Linked DNA regions of Arabidopsis thaliana. The protein of the gene in region 3 interacts with the protein of the main gene of each other region in a pairwise test. Each region holds a gene or a part of one and is shown on either strand. Other genes may lie near its edges.

What was found. Proteins that work in one complex are often made in the same cells at the same time.
Region 1: the proteins of MPK6 (region 3) and DGK3 interact in binary tests that used the Arabidopsis thaliana proteins (3 or more experiments, as listed by UniProt).
Region 2: the proteins of MPK6 (region 3) and SCRM2 interact in binary tests that used the Arabidopsis thaliana proteins (3 or more experiments, as listed by UniProt).

The regions. Positions count from the first base shown.
Region 1 is NC_003071.7:8,116,751-8,122,472, forward strand, and holds DGK3 (diacylglycerol kinase 3), read left to right. Parts: upstream 1-1,985; 5' UTR 1,986-2,225; coding exon 2,226-2,585; intron 2,586-2,905; coding exon 2,906-3,028; intron 3,029-3,119; coding exon 3,120-3,257; intron 3,258-3,340; coding exon 3,341-3,426; intron 3,427-3,516; coding exon 3,517-3,604; intron 3,605-3,710; coding exon 3,711-3,786; intron 3,787-3,873; coding exon 3,874-3,956; intron 3,957-4,076; coding exon 4,077-4,147; intron 4,148-4,252; coding exon 4,253-4,330; intron 4,331-4,417; coding exon 4,418-4,505; intron 4,506-4,585; coding exon 4,586-4,702; intron 4,703-4,780; coding exon 4,781-4,939; 3' UTR 4,940-5,197; downstream 5,198-5,722. Other genes in the region: AT2G18720 (Translation elongation factor EF1A/initiation factor IF2gamma family protein), read right to left, coding at 1-9; AT2G18721 (uncharacterized protein), read left to right, coding at 249-356.
Region 2 is NC_003070.9:4,382,676-4,387,176, reverse strand, and holds SCRM2 (basic helix-loop-helix (bHLH) DNA-binding superfamily protein), read right to left. Parts: upstream 2,874-4,501; 5' UTR 2,420-2,873; coding exon 1,535-2,419; coding exon of another isoform or gene 1,454-1,534; coding exon 1,241-1,453; intron 1,159-1,240; coding exon 988-1,158; coding exon of another isoform or gene 979-987; exon of another isoform or gene 869-978; coding exon 785-868; 3' UTR 526-784; downstream 1-525. Other genes in the region: AT1G12870 (F-box and associated interaction domains-containing protein), read left to right, coding at 1-48; AT1G12855 (F-box family protein), read right to left, coding at 3,566-4,501. UniProt on the Arabidopsis thaliana protein: Mediates stomatal differentiation in the epidermis probably by controlling successive roles of SPCH, MUTE, and FAMA. Functions as a dimer with SPCH during stomatal initiation.
Region 3 is NC_003071.7:18,136,241-18,141,489, reverse strand, and holds MPK6 (MAP kinase 6), read right to left. Parts: upstream 3,245-5,249; 5' UTR 3,014-3,244; coding exon 2,781-3,013; exon of another isoform or gene 2,560-2,780; coding exon 2,430-2,559; intron 1,981-2,429; coding exon 1,843-1,980; intron 1,752-1,842; coding exon 1,419-1,751; intron 1,339-1,418; coding exon 1,158-1,338; intron 970-1,157; coding exon 797-969; 3' UTR 502-796; downstream 1-501. Other genes in the region: AT2G43795 (corepressor), read left to right, coding at 1-50, 148-355; AT2G43780 (cytochrome oxidase assembly protein), read left to right, coding at 4,439-4,498, 4,825-5,046. UniProt on the Arabidopsis thaliana protein: Mitogen-activated protein kinase (MAPK) which regulates abscisic acid (ABA) responses in a MAPKKK20-MKK5-MPK6 cascade involved in root growth (e.g. root cell division and elongation) and stomatal response.

The sequences.
Region 1 (5,722 bases), about 10 Mb from region 3:
AGATTTCATCTTAAACACTCTGTTGCAATCAATCAAAGTTCACAACTTTAGAACAACGTTGATCAGAGCCAATACAATAACACTAGAAGTTTCGAAAGGCTGTTCAGAAACTAGGGTTTTTATGCAAGATGGATGGGTTCCGTTCACAATAGTTACGATTCGATTAAATTCAATTAGGGTTGCTAATCTATTTCACTGAAGTTCTTATAAAAATGATTTACACAAACCTGAAGTACGGTAAGAGGTAGATGAAGAAGTTTGCTCGCAGAGATTTCAGAGGAGAAAGCGTGCCGTTGAAGGTTTGTGTTTTTGGTTTTGATAAAGTCAGGTGGCGTGTAAGGTATATTTATAGGTAGGGTTTTATCTTAACGTTTACTGTTTGTCTTTTTCGCCAACTTCATTTTTCCATGTGTCAATAAAACATGTCTTACAATTTTTATTTTATAATTGTCGGTTTCTTACCCGAAATGTTTTTTTATAGGAAAATTTGTGTTAGGTAATTTTGCAATTTCATTTACAAAATATAGCACGCTCCTTTTGAGATGGGCTAAAATCGTTCCAAAGTTTGGGCTTACACGCCTAACCATTGGCCCACTCCAGTTTACTTCTATCTTTCACCAAACTAAGAAACATTGATCCTTGAACAAAAAGTAGTATATGTTTATATGATGACAAAAAAAAAAGAGTAGGAAATCTATGATTCTATAGGAGTGTAAATGAATAAGCTGTGATAAATTTAGGTTATTTTTCTTAACGATATATATTGTTAGATCAAATTTTATAGTTACATCATTTGGAGTATAATGTAAATATGTTCCGCTTTATAATAATGTAAATATGATTTGTAATACTAATGAGAACACACGCTCATTGTCTTCCAGTTCAAGAAATATCTTAAACCCCACTTTTTATCAGCCACCTGAATTTGAGTCTTCCTCTGCCACATAATAAATTGTTTACATGGACCAATTCTTGGTTACAAAACATCTGATATCATATCGTGCAATTAAGAAGGTATTAAATGATGTTTTTTTCTGTGGCATTTGTATATACTTTCAAGTTTCGACCAATTCTATAAGTTAAGAAAAAGGCATTGAGGGAAATTTAGGTTAGAAAAAGTACACAACGATCCCAGCAATGGGAAGTAGCTATCACTTTCAGTGACCCTATTTCTCTGAGTGGGCAATAACATTGTAGGCCCCATTCTGTGGAAAATCCACTAACTTCAATGTCTGCTCTCATTTTCTATTGTCTCCTTCGCTGTTTTTTTACAATTTACGTTACCACCAAAACTATTCCTTTGTTTAATGACGAAAACGCCACTCTTTCTAAGCAAAATGTCAGAGAATTTTGTTTCTTTGTTGGAGAGTTGAAAATATTTTTTACATAGAAAAAGAAACCAATAATGCAGTCAAATAATAATAGGAAGCAAATAATAATGCAAGTATCTCTAATTCTCTATATCAAATTGTATTCAATCATATTCACCAGATGTAACCTCTATAATGGAACCTTTTTGAATATTAAAATATCATTAGATCCTATTCTTACAATGTATCAATCAATTACTAATTAATTTTCTCTGGTTTTCTTGATATAACAATAACGTTAAAAAATCTCATTGTTAATCTCTTTATGCCATCATTAGTATTGTAAGATTTTGTACACTTTAAATTGTAAATTTGATCTTACAGAAACAAAAGATCTACAAATCTTAGTTACAGAAGATAATGGTATTAAACTATACAAATCTTAGTAGTTTAATATTATTAATAATCAAAATTATTCTAAATTAGAACTTTTACAAAATAAACATTTATCAGTCGCTTTCATAAATGTCAAACAATAAAAAAAGAAAAAGAATCAAAGATCTAAAGAGTGGCATTTTTATGACGTCACATTGAAATCCAACCGTGTAAATTCTTTTTTTTTCAATATAAGCAAATTAATTCACACGTTTTGTGCGCTGTCTTCGAAACTAAATCATTTATAAAAAAGACAAAACAGACAAGAAAATACAAACTGTCAAAAGAAGATTTTATATTGGTTGATTTGAAATCTCTCAGCAAAGAAGAAGAAGAAAGATTAAAAAAAAACAATCCTTTATTATTTTTCATTTCAACTCCAATTTTGATTATCTGGGTTTCGAATATTCCTCATTTTCTCCAATCACAGGACGAAAAGTAATCATCTTTTTGTCTTTTCTTCTCCGGCGAGAGACTACAATGGACTCTCCGGTATCAAAAACCGATGCATCGAAAGAGAAATTCGTGGCTTCACGACCATCAACGGCTGATTCAAAGACGATGAGAGGTTGTGGACTCGCGAATCTGGCATGGGTTGGTGTAGATAAAGTAGAGCTTCGTCAGAGGTTGATGATGCCTGAGTATCTTCGTCTCGCTATGCGTGACTGTATCAAACGCAAAGATTCCTCGGCTATTCCTGATCATTTACTTCTTCCTGGTGGTGCTGTTGCTGATATGGCTCCTCATGCTCCTATGGTTGTTTTCATTAACCCCAATTCTGGTGGTCGTCATGGTCCTGTTCTTAAAGAGAGGCTTCAACAGTTGATGAGCGAGGAACAGGTTTTGCTCTCACTGAACTTGTATTTCAAATCTTTTTCTTTGGGTTTTTGGGGGAATTTCGAATCTAATTTGTATCTACTTTGTGTTTTGATTATGTTAGTTTGGAAACTTTCTTAAAGTCTCTGGCTTTTAAGTTTTTAATGCTTGATTTATATGTTTATGCTTAGCTGATGTTAGATCTAGTGTTTTGTTGGAACTTTGAAGGATGAGTTACGTTTAAAGATTGAGTCTTTTGGAAAGCTGAGTGATGTTGATGTTGTCAAGTTATTGGTTTGAGCTTTTGATATTGAAACTTCATGGTGACTTTTGTGTTGATACAGGTGTTTGACCTCACGGAAGTGAAGCCGCATGAGTTTGTTCGATACGGGTTGGGGTGTTTGGAGAAAGTGGCAGCGGAAGGAGATGAATGTGCAAAAGAATGCAGAGCAAGGTTGAGGATTATGGTGAGTGTATTGACCATATTTTTCTCCAATCTCTATAGATCCACTTGAATGTTTTTAGCAATCAGAATTGTGAATGGAATTGGTTGGATAGGTTGCAGGAGGTGATGGTACTGTTGGTTGGGTTCTTGGATGTCTTGGAGAGCTTAATAAAGATGGAAAGTCGCAAATTCCTCCTGTTGGAGTTATTCCTCTCGGTACAGGGAATGATCTTTCAAGGAGTTTTGGTTGGGTGAGTTGTGTTTTCTTTGTTCTCTCTTATGTTGTCGTGACAAAACTTTTGAATTGGTACTGACTATGGTATCTCTTCTTCAGGGTGGTTCGTTTCCTTTTGCGTGGAGATCTGCTGTTAAAAGAACACTCCATCGCGCAAGTATGGGTCCAGTTGCTAGACTTGACAGGTAAAAGTCTTATTTTGCTCAAAACATTTAGCTTTTATTGTATTTCTCTTGTTGTAAAAATGTATGCGCTTTGGTTATGTGGTGTTGCAGCTGGAAGATTTTAGTGTCAATGCCATCTGGAGAAGTCGTAGATCCTCCTTATTCTTTAAAACCCGCTGAAGAAAACGAACTTGATCAGGTTTTGCTCTATTTCATTAGGCTTGCTTCTTCTCATTGAATCATCAGCATGTGATTTTGTAAATTGCCACGGTTTAGTAATTAACCAGGCTTTATGGTGGTTTCAGGGTTTGGACGCGGGAATTGATGCGCCTCCACTTGCAAAGGCTTATGAAGGTGTTTTCTACAATTACTTAAGCATAGGTTTGTTGAACTTCTCTTTTTGATATCCTAAACAATTTTCACAATTGTTTTTCTGACCAGATTCTTGTGTTTGTCTGGTTTGTTTAGGTATGGATGCTCAAGTTGCATATGGCTTCCACCATCTTCGCAACACTAAACCATATCTTGCTCAAGGCCCTATTTCAAATAAGGTTTGTTTATTATATTTGCACCTAAACTTTGGACTCATTATTTGTCTTTGTTAAAAGCTAAAGTAGTTATGTTGGTTTTGAGAAACGACATTACCAACCACACAATGTTTGCTTTTGCAGATTATATATTCAAGTTTTGGTTGCAGTCAGGGTTGGTTTTGCACGCCTTGTGTCAACGATCCAGGTTTAAGGTTCGCCATTTCGACTCTTATTGTGTAGTTGAACTTGTGTGTAAGTCTCTGCTTAAGCCCTTTGTTGTGTTGTTGACCCCTTGTTTGTGCTATATGAATTTGCAGGGGACTTAGGAACATAATGAAAATTCACATCAAAAAGGTTAACTGCTCTCAGTGGGAAGAGATCGCAGTCCCGAAAAAGTAAAAAACAGTTTTCGATATATGATTTATGTATTACAATCTTTGATATCAATGCTTAAAACCTGATGCTATGGATTTCTCTTGTAGTGTGAGATCAATTGTCGCATTGAATCTTCACAGCTATGGAAGTGGAAGCCATCCTTGGGGCAATCTAAAACCGGACTATCTAGAGAAGGTATTGTTTCTGTTCCATTTCATCATATATGAACTCAGTTCTCTGATGTTAACCCGAATGTTTTCTTTGGTTTTTCTCAGAGAGGCTTTGTGGAAGCACATTGTGATGATGGTTTGATAGAGATTTTCGGTTTTAAGCAAGGATGGCACGCGTCATTTGTCATGGCTGAGCTCATCTCTGCCAAGCACATAGCTCAGGTAACTTCAAAAGACACTGGTCAATGTATAATCTTTTTAGCCATGTGTTTGACTGTTTCATTTTGGTGATCATTTCAGGCTGCTGCGGTAAGATTTGAGCTAAGAGGAGGTGACTGGAGAGACGCATTCTTGCAAATGGATGGTGAGCCATGGAAGCAACCAATGAGCACTGAGTACTCAACATTTGTGGAGATCAAGAAGGTTCCTTATCAATCTCTGATGATAAATAATGAATGATTGAGATTCAAAGCTGGATTCTTTGTACAAAGCTAATTGTTTTGTATTTGGATTTGATTCAGTTAGTCATAGATATAGCCTAAGCTTTTTAGTCTTCTTTTCTTTTAAATCTGAGATTGTGACCATTTTTCTCTTTTTAATTTCTGCTTATTGTTGGTTTTGTACATTTTTGTGTTGTGAGGAATGAAGTTTGTTTATTTATAAGAATGTGGGAAGATAATATTTGGTCAAATTTCAATCTCTCTTCAATCTTTGTAATTCTAGCATTGAGCACATAGATGTGATTCTTTGTCATATTTTTATTTATTTTAACACTAGTTCGACTGAGAACCAATTTATCATCGACACCAATTTCTAAGTAAGAATATTTTTAATAATTATCATTATTAGTCGTATATTTTTACCAGAATAATAAAAAATTAAAAACCTAAGTTAATAAACCACACAAAAAAGTTTTTCTCTCTTCGCTCTCTCGTAGTTTGTAAAGATAGAAACTGAAATTTCTTTTGTTTTTGTTAACCGGATAGTTTTCCGGTGAGTCGCCGTCCCGTTTAATTCGGGCTTTCGTCCGACATCTTCTAGCTACGTTAGTGGAGATGGTTGGCTTTTTGTATGGCATCGTTGGCTAACTTAGCGACGTTGGCCAGCTTCCGTACGGCAGCGTTGGGCTTACACTAACAGCGTTGGTCATCTTTGTTTTTGTTTTGTTACTTCAAAGGTTTGATGATGAAGCTTTATGGCATGCAGAATCGTCAGATCTGAAGAGGGTTTCTCTTTACAAGA
Region 2 (4,501 bases), on a different chromosome or scaffold from region 3:
GCCAGCATCTGTAAACGGGACGCTTTATTGGTTCACAGAGCTATATAATGCTGAAATCAAAGTAATAGTTTTCGATATCATTACAGAAAAATTCCGGTTGCTGCCAAAGATAGTTCCCGCTATTGCTAGTTTAGATCCTAGCCATATATACACTCTGGATAATGCTTTGTGCATGTCGAAAAGAGAAGGAGATAAGCTGATCCAAAATATTTGGAGGCTGAAGAAATCATCAGAAGACACATGGGAGAAGATTTATACCATAGATTTTCTTTTAATTCTTACCAATTAGCCAAGTTTATCTGGTTCCATTATGTTTTTGTCTTTAACATCTTCAGTCGCCCACGGCACAAACCAAATCTTACTAAACTGAACCAAGCTCAGACATTTATAAAGAATATGAATTTTACATAGAGATTCATCTCTGTTCTGAAAAATTGATATATCAGAGCGTTTGCCTATGAATTGTGCATTTCTTAATATTTTGTTTAGCCTTTTCTCATGACAGACTCATGTGTGTTTTATCAATGAAAATCAACATTGCTCTCTTCTTGCAAACAACATATAAATGAAAAGCAAAGTAGAATTATTGAGAAACAATGGCATTTTGCTCAAAGGTTGCAACTATTGTTCCCCAAACACATGTTCTCATAGCTAAAATAAAACAGTTATCATCTTCCATACATGATTGAAATTGATGAAACTAAGTAAGAAAATTGCTGACTAAAACAGAACAAGGACTTAGATCTAGCTCTGTTCCACACAGATGCTTCCTTCTGCTTCGCAATCAAACCAAACCAGCGTAACCTGCTGTATCTAAAAGCACTGCTTTGATTTGTTCAGGTAACACGTCATGGTCTTCTTGACATTGCTGATTAGAAACACAAAACATGTTGTTACTTGTATACTAATCATTCTCTCAAATAACTATTCTTTGACTGCTAGTTTTACTAATCAGTGATCAGCATAGCATCTTAACAACTATATTACCTCAGCGCGGAAAACATCCAAAGCAAAACCATTGAAACAGCTAATCACCGCTTGTTGAACATCCAATCCTAAGTTATCCAAAGCTCTCATGGTGGAAAGTAAAAGACCTGGTCTACGTCCACAGAACATGTGTATGTTCACTGCCTTTCCTTCTCTTAATCTAACCTCAACCTATATCAAAACAAAGAAGCGTTACTAAGAAAATTAAAGAATACAGCTTTGTCCACTAGAAAGCAATTGAGCTTATTCTTACTCTTGGTTGTTGGCCTTTAGGACTTGGCAAGGAGGAAGATGGACACAACTCTTCCTTAACACGGTAAGACAGCGTTTGTGGAGTCGGTGTTAACGGATGCAAGCTTGAAGAACTCGGTGGAGTAGATTCAAGTTCGGTGTGAAGATCGTTGATTCTTTGTAAAAGCTCTTTGAGGTAATCAATAGCATCTCCAAGTATTGATGCTCTATCCATCTACATTTGCAACCCAAAATTAGTGACACAAGAAGTTATTAAGGAGAACAAAGAGAAAAAAGGAAGAATCTTTTTGGTTACTTTGCTGATCTTGGGAACAACTGATCTAAGCATGTAAAGCCTATCATTAAGCTTCTTCCTTCTTCTTCTCTCAGCCATAAGATTCTTTGCAGGCATTCCTTTCTTCTTACCTTTGTTGTTATTAGTATTATGGTCATCAGATTCGTAATTCAATCCAGAGATATCGATGATTCCGGTACTAGTATCGTCAATCTCTCTCTCGTAGCTCGATTTCCTCATTTCAGAAGAACTCTCAGAATTGCACATTTTGCTACTCGAGCTCTGACGCATTGCAGCTCGTTTCTGAAACAGAGTTGGCTGCGAGCCAGATGAAGCCATTACCTGTAACGGTTTTAAAACCTTTGCTCTGTTTGAGAACAGAGGACTCAATCCACATGATCCTGAGCTGTTTTCCGGAGCTGGAAGAAAATCCGGTACTGAGTGGTTTAAGCCAGTGAAATTCATCGAGTTCGGAGATTGATGATTTCCATGGAATTGTTGTCCTAAGAAACCAGAGTCAAAGCCGAAGTCATCGAAAGTGTTGTTATTGATGGTTGGGACGTTGAGAAGAGAAACTATACAAGCTTTCGTAGCTAAGAAAGACTGTTCCTGTTGTTGTTGTTGTTGTTGTTGTTGCTGTGAAGCAGCGTCGAGTGTGAAAGGATGTAATAACGGAGAAGAAGAAGAAGAAGAATCAATCGATTGCTGAAGAAGAAGAAGCAGATTCTCTGAGGGGTTTAAAGGAAAGCCACCATTGAATCTGAAGTCGTTTTGATTAGTGTGTTGTGGTGGTGGTGGGTTATTGAACCAGTCTTCATCTGGGTTTCTGACCCAAGACGCAGCTTCACCGTTATTAACTTCCGGAGATTCACCGGAGCCGTCAAGCCAAACACCGTCGCTGTTCATGTCAAACTAGTAGAGAGAGAGAGAGAGTGGGAAAAGTTTCGAATTTTGGAGAGAAGTAGAAATGGAACCTCAAAAGGAGACAAGGCGAGAGAAACGTAGATAATATAGAGAGAGATTTTTCTTGAAAGGAGGCGTACGTTATAAAGTGGAATCACGAGGATCTTATGAAGAAGAAAAAAGTGAGAAATCTGAAGAAGAAAGATAGAGAGATTTCAGAGCTCGAAAACCCTAAAAAGTTGAGATTTTTGGGGATTTCAATGTTGTCAAGGCCACCATTTATTTACTCTGTTTGGTTTCTTGGTCTATCTTGGTTTAAGAGTTGGTGTTGATTCTCGTGACTATTGTTTTTGCTTTCCGTCTCTCACCTCCACTTCATCTTTGCCACCTCTCTCTCATTTTTTTTTGTCTGCAGAATTATTTCAGTGATAGAGCTTAGGAAGATGATTTAGTTAAAGCTAAATCCGACCGTTAATAATCAAAATAAGTATACAGTTCAGTTTGGTTGAAAAACTTAATAATGTGGGATTTGGTTGGCAATCATAAAAATTGTCACCGTAAAATAAACAAATTTTGAAAAGAAAAATTGTAGTTTTTTTCTATATTTGAAGTATTTGGGACTAAAGAATTTTAATCTCTCAAAACTTTGTGATGTGTGTCATAGACTCATATTAATTGTAGCGGCAAACTTGTGTTTAGATTGTTACATAGATTGGCTATTAATCAAATTTTTTTTGACATGAATAACAAAAGTATATTGAATAAAAAAAAATCTTGCAACAAAGTATATTGAATAAACATTTCAAGATTAATACGGATAAAAGATGTCGGATGCAATGGTCCCTTTTTTTTAACAACGAGGCAATGGTCCCTTTAAGATAAAATCTATATTTCATCTTCCTTTTACATCCACACACAGAATGAAACTGATTTTTGTGTGGATTAACGAAAATACTCGTCCTCATTTTTTTGAAAAATCTGTATCATTTCATAAAGTAGTATGATTTTTGGTAAGTATAGTGTCATTTGGCGAAATAAGTATGGTTTATTATGATTTATGAATAACAGCATGCTATCGGATAATATAACAATCCAAACAATTAATGCTTTGTTTCTTACATTACATGCTTCCAAATACATCAAAGCATTTTATATATGAGAGATCAAACTCTGAAAATAAGAAGCATATCTTCTACACAAAGGAGGTTGGTAAATTAAACTGATAGATTTTATTTGGGGATCGTATTTGATCATATTGCGGGCATAGCGATGTGAGAGCAGAATCTTCTTGTCCTTGCATATCGCCACTGGTGTGGATGGCTCAACCAAATCTTTTCGTGTCCAATTAAATCCATCGCGGAACTCAGATAAAGAAGAAGAAGAACAAGAAAGCAAATCTATGGTATAAACCTTCTCCCATGAGTCTTCTGATGATTTTAACCTCCATATCTCTTGGACCAACGTATCCGATTCTCTTTTCGACATGCACAAACCATTATCCAAAGTGCACATGTCGATATGGTCAGGATCTGAACTAGCAATGGCCGGATTAATCTTAGGTAGCACACGAAACGTTTCAGTGTGAATATCGAGAGCTACCACTTTTATTTCGCCATTATATGGTTCCGTGAACCAATAAATAGACCCGTTTGTAGCTGCTGGTACTTGGTCAGGGAATATCCGATAGCTTGGAGTGCAAGTCAAGTACCTCCAAGCGTTTGCCCTAAAATCAAAAACCTCGCACTTTGTAACTCCCAGGTTTGGATTCGAGGCATCAGAATTATACAACCACACTAATTTGTAATCATTGGCCTTCACGAATGCTGTATAACAGACTACTGGTTTTATGTCAATCCAAGTGTCTTGAGTGGGGTATAACTTTTGCATCAAAATCTGAAACCTAGCCGGAGGAAGTTGTCGAAACCACCGAGTGGCCGGGTTAACTACATATATGGCTTGTGTTTTTAGGGAATGGATGCAGAAAAGTCCGTCACAGCTTTCAGAAGCATAGATCCGGTGTTGAAATCCTTGAGGGAAAGTGATAAGAGTGGAGGACAGAATAGAAGCCGATTCCAAACAGATTGT
Region 3 (5,249 bases):
CAGATAGAAAGTGCAGAGATTCCAAGAGGAAGAAAAGCAAAAAGAGAAAGGTGCTTACATAACAACTGCATCGAGTTTAGTTTGAACATCTTCTATAATTCTGTTGGCTTGAAGCTTTTAGCTTACATTGTGTTTATTGATTTGCAGCATTCGAAAAGGCGATCATCAGACTCAAGCTCATCTTCTGAATCTTCAAGTAGTGACAAAGACGAATCTAGGAAGTCAAGGTCAAGTTCTAAGAGGCCAAAGAGGGAGAGGAAACACAAGTCTAGAGGCAGACACTCAAAACCAAAGTAAAGATGAGGCTGATGGTCCTGCACCACAATCAAAATTCTTTGGCAGTCTTAAGAGTTGACACAGTGCAAGACTTGAGATTGTGTTCATCAAATGCTCAATTTTCACCCCGAGGACATGATTTGTACTATCCTCATCTCCCTGCAATATTTCTCTCCCTGCTGTTTTATAAAACAAGAAAGCTGACAGTAATGGCAAGTATTTTGTAGAGGAATTGAAGGTGGGCTATCATAACATAACTATTTCTGAGACAATTTAAGTCTTAAATAACTGCAACAACAAAATGAGGGCAAATTACAAATACGAATAGGAAAAAAAAAAACAGAGAGAACAAATTATCCAAAAGACTGAAATATAAAGTTTGAGACCCATCCCCTTCAACATCTCTCACAAGTATACACAAAAGACAAACAATGATCTTTCCTCCTTTTAAGAATGTTGTCCAAACCAAATAACGCCAAACCCTTATCTCATCTTCATCTCCCAAATGCTGTTCTTCAAACTATTGCTGATATTCTGGATTGAAAGCAAGCGCCTCGCGGTAGATTAGTTCCTTCATCTGCTCCTCTGAGAGTGCATGGTTTTCAAAATCAAAGTTGAAAGGTATTGTACACTCTGGCTCATCGCTTATGTCGTGCAACGAGTTCAGGTATGGATGGGCCAATGCGTCTAAAACTGAATCAAGAATCGAGAATCAAGAATCAATAAGAGGTGATGACTACTAACTAACTCTTAAATAACCAAGAACTCATTATTATTATTCCTTCACTAGATTGAATCTTTTTTCGGGATTTTGGAATGATCCGTACAAGCAATTCCAGTTATTTTGCAAGTTAAAAATGGTATAGAGGTTAGGGACTAACCTGTGATTCTCCGTCTAGGATCAAATGTTAACATCTTCTCGATAAGGTCTATAGCTAAAGGATGCACTGTCGGGAACTTATCAGTGATGGATTGGCGAGGATAAGGTGGAAGCTGTCTTATGTATCGCTTTGCGTTTTCGTTCAAGAACTCGAGCTCTTCTTCTGATGGAGTTCCTATGAGCTGCAAAAAGAAAATGGTCTCGGTCTGTTTCTTTAGTGCTTCAAAGCTTATTTTTGGGTCAAAGAAGGGTTACTACTTACCTCCATGAGCAAGCGAAGCTGATGGACATGATCTCGTCCAGGGAAGAGTGGCTTACGGTCCATTAACTCCATGAAAATACAGCCTACAGACCAAACATCGATAGCTGCAGTATAATCAGAAGAGTTTAAGAGAAGCTCTGGTGCACGGTACCATCTCGTGACAACATATTCAGTCATGAAATCACTCTCAGAAGTGACTCGAGCTAGCCCAAAATCGCAGATTTTTAGGTCGCAGTTTGCGTTCAGGAGGAGATTACTTGGTTTCAAATCCCTGTGAAGCACATTTGCAGAGTGAATGTATTTCAATCCACGGAGGATCTGGTAAAGAAAATACTGCACAAAGAGACAAGTGAAATGGAGTTCAATTAGTCCCCGTTTTCAAGTCGAGTTATATAGGTCAACAAACAATCTCAAAACTCAAAACCTGGCAATGTTCTTCGGATAATGCTTGATTTGACCGAATGATTTGATGGAGATCAGTGTCCATTAACTCATACGCGATGTAAACATCGTTGAAAGCGTTTCTTAATGGTGGCGGGATAATATCTCTGATTGCAACAATCTGATTTAACAGAAAGATGGTAAGTGTTTTATCAATCGGAAATGTTTTACACGTTGCAAACGCCAACATAGATAAACGGTTACATTTTACGATTTGATTTCTAGAATTTAAAATCTTGACGCAGATGGAAAAGATCATACTACTGAATAAGCGCGAAACAATCCGTATCAAACCGAAAAAAATACAAGCACACTGTGTCAACATTCATGTATATTCCCTTAAATCTAAATGCAATAAGCAACCACCAGATACAACACATTCATACACAGAACCTAATCAGCCCATACAATATCAATCAAATATATACATCATCTATTTACCTAAACAATTTTGCATCAGCTAGTAGTTACCATGTTTCGAGTGTATTTAAATCTACAATCCTATTATGTTCTACATAAGACTCTATAAACAGATGACTCTTAGTTAACAAAGAAAGAGCAAAAACTGACATTTTCATGATCCATGTGACGAAGCAGCTTGATCTCACGGAGAGTCCTCTTAGCATCAATCTTATTGTCAAAAGCGTTAGCAATTTTCTTAATCGCAACGCTCTCGTTAGTTTCAGAATTCATAGCCGAACTGCAAAATCAAAATCAAATAAAACCACAAAAGGATAAAGCTTTCATTGAAACAAAAATAAATCCCAATCATAATTAGAGCTCAAAAACGATACAAAGGAATCAATTTTACAAATTGCGGATCAAAAGTAACCAACTTTACCAAAACCCAATCAACAAAAATCATTTTTTATTTCAATTAGAAGCAAAAGCCAAAAATCAAAAGAATCGGAGAAAAATTACCAAACGATGCCATAAGCACCCTTGCCAATAGGCATGATCGGAGGCTTATACTTAGCGGTGACCTCGAAGATGTTTCCAAATATGTTATACTGAATAAACCTACCACCATGGCTAAGAGTCGCCGGAATATTCTCAATCCCAGGCATCTGAGGCGATGGAGCCGCCGCGGGAAAACCTCCAGGAGCTTCTGTCATCTCTGTATCAGCCGCCGGTTGACCTGAACCACCGTCCATGACCGGTAAAGATGAAAGCTTTTGAGGTTGGTGGTGGTGGTGGATCGAGAAGAGGGAAATGGAAAATCTTTTTTTTTTTTTTTTTTTGTAATTTTGGGGTGAGTGAATTATGAATGAAATTGGAGAAATTGATATTCGTTGGTTTTGGGGTCAAAACAGATCTGAGAGACAAGAAGTGAAAGTCATGTGCGTACGGATCTATTAATTTTTTTATTTTTTTTTGGGTCTTCACTTGACCCGTGTGTGTAAGCAAGCAAGCAAGCCACTGTTCAAAGTTTGATCCTTTATTCTCATGTTTAACACTGTTATGGTTACAAACGGCATCGTTTTACATTGACTTATCACCATTTTTTTTTTTGTTCCATTGACTTCCTTCCTTAATCGTTATCATTAACAAGTAACAACAGCATTTTTTTGAATGTAAATGTTGGGTGAAAATGAATCATAGATAAATGTAGTTATTATCATTGATATTATGTTTTTGGGTTGTACTTTAATTTTGAGATTATTTTTGTAACATGAAAAATCGCTAAATTTTATGTAGATTGAAAAACACAAAAACTTATAAACCGCCAAAAGTTATTAGATAGTATCTAAATTAACTATTTAAGTATTTAAAGTTCTCTATCAAGAATTTCGATGAACTTGATAGTCGTATAGTGTGAATGAGGCCACAACATGAAACATGCTTGGTTGAGGGTTATTTGGATTTTTAAAAAGTATGGTGGTTCAATTTGATAATATTCCAAAATTACAAGGATCATCTCAATATTTTTTACATAATGAAGCAATAAATCTCTTCTCTTGTGTTATACAGTTGGGTTCGAACTCGAGACGGCTTGCTTTCTGCCTCTATCCCTCTTTCACACGAGAGCTCTTACTGGGTTTAGGGTTTTCGATAGATTGGTAAGTGGCCACGACACTAAGCGTCACCGAACCAGTTGTCAACTAAATAGGGAAACTTTAGGCTTCTGTCGCATTTAGGCACGATTCTCTGTAGAAGAAAAAAATATCAGCTTTGTTGTATCTTTCGGATTTTCGAGTGATCATCAAACCTTCATCACCAGGTTCCTTTCGATTCCATTTTAATTTTGTGGACTTTGGAGTAATTTGCTTAAAGAACCAATTTTTGATTGATATTTTCTGCTCTCCTTTCATTTTGACATTTTGATCTGGTTTTGAGAACTTTGGTTGAGTAACAGTAGCCTGCGTTTAAAAGATGTTAGCTTTGGATGTATAGATGTAGAGTTAGGTTTCTAATTGCCTTTATTTTTGCTTTGGTTGATGATTTATGGTTGATTGACTCGTTAAAGGGAAGTGCGCTGATTTTGTGGACAATTATGTTAGACTGATGGGCATGAATGTGACCAATTGATTTTCTCTCCGTTTCCATTATGATGCAGAAGAAAGTTCTATTTTGCTGAAATGTTTTGCAACTTTCAGTTGTTCATTCATACCATGATTGTACTCATCTTTGATCTCGTTGTGAGTACTATCACTTACTCTTGGCGTAGTAGTTCTTAGGATGAGGTATAAGTATAACAATTCGAAAATTCGTCGTATTCAATCTGTGTAATCTGTTTTTCACTATATGAACAATATGTCAATGTCCTGCGATGCCTCAGGGCTTCTGGAGTCACTTCTGCAATGTTAAAAAGAGTAATCAAAAGTTGTTATATCATGCTTCAGAGTTCTCTCTTGTTATTCCTCATCTTAGTATTTATGAAACTGTGATATTGAAGATATAACATAATCTAATACTTCTGATACTTGGGTCTCTTCTGTAACATGTGACACATTGGATCTTGCAGGTTAAAGACTTTGAAGTAATGGCGGGATTTCCAGGTTTTAGTTACCTAGGCCCAAAAGGCAAGAACACGGTTGTAGCTGGTGGCTTGACAGCTTTTGTTTTTGGGGTATACTTCTACACAATGAGGGCGGTTGGTGGCACAGACGAGCTTCAAGTGGCTATAGACAAGTTCGAAGGCCAAAAACAGGTGGACACTGACACCAAGGTTCCATCTAAGGTCTAATCCTCACTGGCTTGATATGTCCAACCAAACCCGTTATTTATCTTTGCTTTCCAAGCTTCTTTTGTCACGAAAGTGGCTCGTTTCTGACATCGAGTGGCATCTGTGTTTGAGTCTCAGTCCAATCTATAATACATTGATTAAACAAGAGAATGTATGATCAGGACATGGTTTTGATGTTCTTGACATTGTCTTAAGTTCTCAAC